Ovis aries: one gene and its partner. The protein of the gene in region 1 binds, or shares a complex with, the protein of each later gene. Links are inferred from orthologs where the notes say so. Each region holds a gene or a part of one and is shown on either strand. Other genes may lie near its edges. The genes, in order: NCOA5 and ESR2.

What was found.
Region 2: the proteins of NCOA5 (region 1) and ESR2 are in contact, whole or in part, in a crystal structure (PDB 4ZI1), measured with the Homo sapiens proteins. The link is inferred for Ovis aries from reciprocal best matches to the Homo sapiens genes NCOA5 and ESR2. Residues at the interface, in NP_066018.1 of Homo sapiens: Ser344, Leu345, Ile346, Leu348, Leu349, Ala350, Asp351; in NP_001428.1 of Homo sapiens: Ile310, Lys314, Phe319, Leu324, Gln327, Val328, Leu331, Glu332, Leu490, Glu493, Met494.

Annotation. Positions count from the first base shown.
Region 1 is NC_056066.1:74,778,845-74,782,657, reverse strand, and holds part of NCOA5 (nuclear receptor coactivator 5), read left to right. Parts: intron 1-436; coding exon 437-563; intron 564-2,374; coding exon 2,375-2,574; intron 2,575-3,813. UniProt on the Homo sapiens protein: Nuclear receptor coregulator that can have both coactivator and corepressor functions.
Region 2 is NC_056060.1:74,487,373-74,491,185, reverse strand, and holds part of ESR2 (estrogen receptor beta), read left to right. Parts: intron 1-1,091; coding exon 1,092-1,272; intron 1,273-3,808; coding exon 3,809-3,813.

The DNA of each region.
Region 1 (3,813 bases):
AGCAAATTACAATTACCTGTCAATAAGAGTCTTAAATGGTTGTCCCAAAAATGAAAATTAGGATAATAATGATATACTATCTTTTGCCTATCAATTGGCAGGAGGTTTTTTTTTTTTTTTAATGACAAAACTCAGCGTTGATTAAGATATGGAGAAATAGCACTAGGTGATCCACCCCAAAGAAAGGATGAATTAGTAACAGCCTTTCCTAAAGGACATTCTGGTAGCATGTATCAGATTAAAGCAACCATGCCTTGTAATCCCTTCATTCCATTTTAATGAATTTATAATAGTAAAAAAATAATTTTTTTTCAGAAGTAGTCTAGAGGATTACAACCTTTGCCTACAAGTAGTTCAAGATTGAAAATAAGGCCTGTGACTGACTTTTATAGAAAGGCACCGTCCGTGTTTCAGTTTTCCCTGTGTCATCCTGCAGAGCGTCTGAAACGTGAGGAGCGTCGTAGAGAGGAGCTCTATCGTCAGTATTTTGAGGAAATCCAGAGACGCTTTGATGCTGAGAGGCCTGTTGATTGTTCTGTGATTGTGGTCAACAAGCAGACTAAGTAAGAACCCTTTGGATTTTTCCCGAGTGAGGAGAAGAAGCAGAAGAGAAATTAGAAATTTAGTCTTCTTGGTAGCTGTACGCACTGCCAAGGCTTTGTACGTTGACATTGCTGTACTGTGTTAACCAGAGTTCTTTCAGTTGTAGATGACAGAAAACCCACCGCAAACTGGCTTGGGCCCAAAGGGAAGTTTTTAGTTTGCTTGACTGGGACATTCAGGCATGGCTGCATTCAGGGTTAGCCTCTCATAAAGACTTGGTCTTTTGTGTTGTCTTCACTCTCAGACAAGCTTTCTACTTGAAAAGACAGAACAGCGCTAGCTCTTGACATGTATCTCCTTAGCTTAGCAAACCCGTGGAAAGAGCTGCTTTTTCCTGTTGCTTCCACCTGAAGGCCTGGAATTGTTTCCCATCCCTGGACTGTCCCTTTGGCCAGCAGTGCTGGGATGCCCTGATTGGCCAGGGCTAGGTCATGTGCCCATGCATAGTGCTGAAAGTGGCACTAACCCTGTGGAGCCGGGGCAGACTGAGTGGGAAAGGGGTGCCTTCCCAAAGGAAAATCCGAGGGAGTAGATGTTGGTCAGGTGAAGCAGTAGATGCCCCCTTTGTGCGACGACCCCAAGCCCGTACGTGGGAAGGCAGGCATGTCTGCATTTGCCAGCCGAGAGACTGGCTTTGTTTGGGAAGTGCCATGGCCTTGCAGAGCTGTTAGGTGGCCGTGCCAGCCAAGGCAGAGCTCATGGCACTGTTCTTCCTACCTCTGTTTCACATTCTTTCCTTGAAGAAGCAGCTCAGAGGTGCAGAAGGGAGTGTAGCAGCTTGCAAGTTTGGCAGCAGCTATATTCCCTTTCCCCAAGTGGCTAGTAAAGAACTTCATGTATTTTCTAGCAGTTTGGGGTTAAAGAGCTAATTTTCAAGGCAGAAGCTAGGGAAATAGGTGTTAAGACACCAAACAGCAGGCAGAGTTCACAGGCTCTGGGCTGCAGTGTTTAGAAATAGATTCTGCTTTAACTTGCAGATAACTTTTTTGCCTTTTTATTTTTAAATGCATGATAATAGCTGTCATTTTCTGAGCACCTACTCTGTACTACTCCATGTTAAGCGCTTTAAATTATTTTTCTGATCTTCATAGTAATCATGTTTCACATGTATTCATTCATGAAATTTTTTCTGTGTGTGGCAGGTGCTAGGTCCTGAAGCTGTAATGCTAATGAGCAAAACACACATGGTCCCTTCCTCTTGTGGAGCTTATACCCTAGTTGGACAGATGACAAATATAAATGTATTGGTCATGAGTCTTATGAGAAGAAATATATCAAGGATCTGATTTAGATTGGAGAGAAAGTTAAGGAAATGACATATGAGCTGAGCCGTATTATTCCTGTCTGATTGGTAAAGAAACTGAGGTTTGTAAGAGGTAAAGGGATTTGCTTAAAGCTTCAACTTTGCAAGTAAATGTTAGGGCTATGATCCAAACCTATCTCTAGCATTTAAAACCCATGCTTTTTTCACTGTGTTGTACAGCCTCTGCCAAGACAGAAATGTGCTACAAATCTTAGGCAACAGTATGGTATTTAGGAATGACCATCAGACTAGAGAATCAAGAGAAGGGCCTGGGATACTAAGTCCTGTTCCATTGGGAACTTCTCCACCAATATAAAGAGAAGGAATTGGTTTAGATTTTTAGAGCCTGAAGAGGGTGCTAGGGAGACACTGGTAGAGCTAGGATTTGAAGTCTTCTGGCTGAGGTGCCACTGTACAGATTGGGAGTCGATCAGGGAGTACTCAACTGGATCCTGTTTGCTTCTACAGAGATTATGCTGAATCTGTGGGGCGGAAGGTCCGAGACCTAGGCATGGTAGTAGATCTAATCTTCCTCAACACGGAAGTCTCACTGTCCCAAGCCTTGGAGGATGTCAGCAGGGGAGGCTCTCCCTTCGCTATTGTCATCACCCAGCAACACCAGATTCACCGCTCCTGCACAGTCAACATCATGTTCGGAACCCCTCAAGGTATGGAGGCCCCAGTGGGTCACAGTTCCAGAAACTTCCAGATGCTAGTCCATTAATTTTTTTATGGCTTACTCAGAAGCAGCAGGCTTTAGGTAAAGGTATTTCAGCTCAGATGTGGTAGAGCCCTTTTATAAGTGCGTGACAGAAGCTTGCACAGTCATTTATTTGTTTGATCTTCTTTCATTGCATACAGTTCTGGGCCTGCTGTGTATGACGTTATATTCAGCCCTTAGGTATGTGCAGTGATGTGTTAGTAAATGTTTAACAGCCAGTTCTGGGGTGGGGATGGCGTGGTTTATAGAATTTCCTGACTTCCATGGTGTAAATACTCCCACCGTGTTCTATTTCAAGCCACCAACATGAAGTCACTTTAGGGCAAGTTGGGAAGAGAGGCGCACAGTCTGCTCGCACCAGTGAGAGCCAGCCCAGCCCTGGCACACACTGCACTGAGGGTGGCGGAGCCCCTGCTTCACCAGACTTTGGAACGAGGGGCACAGCGTGTGGCAGGCAGTTAGGAGACTTTTTGTTAGTGTGCTGGAGAAGTCAGTGGAGGGACTTTGAGAAGAGGGAGGCGGCCTTGACCTCCTGGAGGCCCAGGGTCGGTTCCCTGAAGTCCTTGCCTGAAGTAACTTTTAGTCCTTTGCTCCCAGATCGTTGAGACTCAGTCAACTGATTCCTTGCTGATTGCTCTCTCAGCACAGACTTTTCCCTTCTCCCACCACCCTGGGCCCTCTGTCTGCCTGACCAGTTTTACCCATAAGCATAGAGTGTAGAAGCCTCTCCAGCAGGCCATTCGCCTCTCTGTGGAACACTCCTCAAGGTGTGTGAAGACATTTATATCAAGTGCCAAGAAGTCTTCTTATCACCTTATAAATCTTGTTGCCCAAGGTTGAGGGGAGAAGGTTATTGAGGGTCATAATTTGATCTTAATCCATAACCTTTGAACCTTTTTGATACATTAAAAAATCAGCTCTGTCCTGAGGAGCGTGGTGGAAAGCCAGGCTTTCCAGAAGGGCTGTGTGGACCCCCATGGCCTGCCTCCTGTGGTCATTCTCCACGTGGTCTTTTTGAATCTGTGAGATGTCATGTTTCTCTGGCTTTCACTATACGTCTGTGATCTAAGAAGTCCCCTTAGAACTAGCTTTCTACAAGGGTGTCTGCCTCTCACTGAAGAAACCCATTCTTTGTCTTCCAAGCTGCATCCCCTCCCGCCCCACCTCTCCCCATCCCCATTCCAAG
Region 2 (3,813 bases), on another chromosome or scaffold:
AAGTCAGCAGCTCCCCTGTTGATTTCATGTTATTTGCTATTTATTCTTTGAAATCCAAAGCCTGGAAGAGAAGCTAATTACTTCCCTGTTGCCCAGAATAAAAAAGTCAGGGTTGGTAGGAGAGGGGGATGGTAGGGGCAAGGATACACAACTGAGCAGTTGTTTTGTAACTTTCAGGAGGCCAGGTATTTCAGTTCCTAGAGTCAGAGGGGAATTAAACACATGGCCAGGCAGGAACGGGGAGGTGACCTACCTCCTAAGGTAGTTGTGGGGACCTCAGGACTCATGTGCTTGTAAGCTTTGCTCAGTGAGGAGCTGAGGCTGGAAGAACCAAGTGACTGGTCAGGGGCCAGAGAGCAAGAGATGGTGAATATAAAGCAGGTCTGTCTTATTGCAAATCGGTGGTCTTCCTGCTCCACCAAAGCGTCACCTGAAGTGAAATGCTGAGAGTCTGGACAGAGGTGAGGTGGCAGTGGCCCTGCCGTGTAAGGGGTGGGCAGCTGCCTAGCAGTGGTGATTAGTTTGTAAACTCCCCTTAGATCAGTGGCCCTCCTAGGGACTAAGAGTTGGATTAACCTCACTTTCCTGGCCATCTCCATATGGGTATTGTTGCTGCAGCTGAGAGGTACCATGCCGTGGTGTGAGGCAGCTGGATACATTTCCTACTGTGGCATGGCCACACTTATGGGCCTGGCAGCCCTCTGAGAGGCTGCTGAGTCTGCCTGCATTCAGCCATCTTTCCCTTCCAACTCAGTGATGGGCTGGCTCTTGGTGGAATAGACAGCATACAGAAGTGAAGCCATGCTTTTAAGGCTTCACCAGACACGCAGATGTCAGAACAGCCGAGACCACTTTGGCCTCCTTCCTGGAGAACATAGAGGGAAGATCTCCTGGAGGAAGGCATGACAACCCACTCCAGTATTCTTGCCTGGAGAATCTCATGGGCAGAGAGGCCTGGCAGGCTATAGTCCATAGGATCACACAGAGTCAGACGTGACTGAAGCAGCTTAGCACACACATGCCTAATGGCTGAGCACATGACTTCTGTTTTCTCATGGCAATGACCCTTGGCTTTTTAATTCTTTGTCCAGGTATGTACCCTTCAGCTACAGCATCCCAGGAGGCTGACAGTGGCCGGAAGCTGACTCACCTGCTGAATGCCGTGACGGACGCTCTGGTCTGGGTGATTGCCAAGAGCGGCATGTCCTCCCAGCAACAGTCCATGCGCCTGGCTAACCTGCTGATGCTCCTGTCTCATGTCAGGCATGCCAGGTACCATCCCTGTGGGGTCTGCTCCACTGGGTGTGTGGTGGGAGGGAGGGTGCAGATGCTCACAGAAGGATAAAGAGTTTTGGAAAAAGGGTTTTGCAAGTTCAAGATGGATAAGGTGGAATTGCCACCTTTAAGGGAAAATGAATTCCTGAGAGGAAAGGCAGGCATCATCTCTATACACGCTGATGGCCCGTATAGGATGTGGTCATTATAGCAGCTTTATAGTGTCTTGTTACCCTGCCCAAGCTCACTCTACTTGCCGCAAAATAGACGGCAAGAGATGAGGTGTTGAGGTAGGGAATACAACTTTAGGCTGACCAAGAACATGCAGTCTAATGTCTCAAAATAACCATCTTTTGAGGGTCTGGATGCCAGGTTCTTCTAGAGATCAGAGGTGGTGGGAGACAAGGAAACAAAGTAAAAAGACCATTAATCTTGCAAACATCTCCTAGAATGCAAACCTCAGGCAGGGCATGTGTTAGTGTCTTCCTTCCTGCCGCCTACAGGTGGACAGGGTCCTGAAAAAAGACACTTTAGTAAGTCAGGCAAAGGGGCAGGATTCTCCGAGACAGGTCATCATGTGTGATTATAATAACAAAAGCAACAGAAAGCAAGTCAAAGGAACAGTTCCAACATGGAGCCAGAATTGGCTTTTCCCTGCAACATTGTGCTGGCTTATCTGGTTTTTAGTTGCTGGGGATTTTAGCTTGTTTATGGATTCTGAAAGGGGCAGTTAGTTCCTCCCCTAAAGTGAGCTGCCCCATCTTCCTGAACTACACAGGGCTGGGGTCCTGAGGTGTTTTCTTAAAGAGGTTAAACCCAGCTTCTCTAGATCAGCTCTGGGGCTGGTGATCTGGGGTGATCACAAAGGCTTCCCTAAGAGTTGTCCTTTTCTTGCTATAGAAAAGGATATTATATATCCTTGCAACACATCCCCTGCCCAAGGTTTGCCATTCTAGGAGATATTTGCCAGATTAGTGGCCTTTTTATTTTTGTTTCCCAATATCCCCCTACCTTTGATCTATAAAAGAACCTGGCATCCAGACCCTTGTAAGATGGTTATTTCGAGACATTAGTCTGCCATCCTCTTGGTCAGCCTAAAGTTGTATTCCCTGCCTCAACACCTTGTCTCTTGCCGTCTATCCTGCGGCAAGGTGAGCGAGCTAAGGCCTGTTAACAAGACACCATAAAGCGGCTATGACAACTGCATTCTGTAAGAGCCATCAGCGTGTGTACTGATGATGCCCGCCTTTCCTTTCAGGAGATCATTTTCCCTTCAAGGTGGCAAGTCTACCTTATCCATCTTCCAATATATCAGGATACTAAGAGAACTAGTGAGCCGTGTAGGTTTGGGAAGGCAGTGCATGGGTAGAGTGTATCCAGGAAATGGACATTGTGTGTGCTCAAGGACGGAGATGGTGTCTGATGGTGGCTTCATGCCGGTGCCATGAGGCTCAGTGCTGGCCATCACCTAGGAGGAGGGTGGGGTGCTGGGGCTGGAGGAGGGGGGAAGAGGAAGGAAGGTAAATGCTCCCTTGAGGAGGAGGAAAGTCTAGGGGCGGTGAGAAAAGACAACACACCTGACGGATTTCAACAAGGGGGACGAAGTGGAAATGAGCTCTGCTCTGTTTACTCTTTAATGATTACTCAGCACACGACCATTTACAGAGCAGAAACAGTCCACCCTCATTAATCACAGATTCTCTACTTATGAATTTGCCTGCTTGCTAAACTGTATTTGTAACCCCCAAATCAATACTCAGGGTGCTTTTGAGGTCATTCGAGGACATGTGCAGACGGGCAGAAAGTTTGAGTTACCCACACGTATGTTCCCAGTGGAGGTCGTACCAGGTGCTGCCTGCTCTGCCTTCTCATTTCTGCTCTCAGAGTGTAAACAAGGGTGTATTATATGGTCTGTTTAGTACCTTGTTTCGGCATTTTGTGCTTTGTTGGAGATTTCATAGTCTAAAGAGAATCCCCAAGAATAGTGCTAAAGTACTGTCTAGTTCCTAAGTGCAAGAAGCCTGTGATGTGCTTACAGAGAAAATGCATGTTAGATAAGTTTCATTCAGGCATGAATTTTAGTGCTACAGGCTGTGAATGAAATGTTAATGAATCAATGATTCATGTTAAATAAGGCCCTTTAAGCAATAACTCAGAAGAAACAAGATTATGTATTAATGGGCTGATGAAAGTGTTGGGACCAGAATCTCTCAGAACCTAACCCTTATTTCTCCCAATAGCAACGGTTCAGTGTTTTCAAAGACCATGAAAATGTACCTGTGGTGTTCAGAGACCCCATCACACTAGGGGTCAAGTTGTTGGGGTGGGTGGTGGGACACCATCGTCCACAGGACATTGGCTTCATCCTCACCTGCAGATCATTGGAGGAGCCAGATGCAAGAACCATAGAGCAGAGGGCTGGGGGTCATCCTGGGGTGAAGGTGAGGACCAGCTCCATGGGGGAGAGTCGGGGAGATGTCAGGCTTCCTGTGGCTGCTTCAGGAAGGAATCTCAGCCCCTTTTGTCTCTCCAGTAACA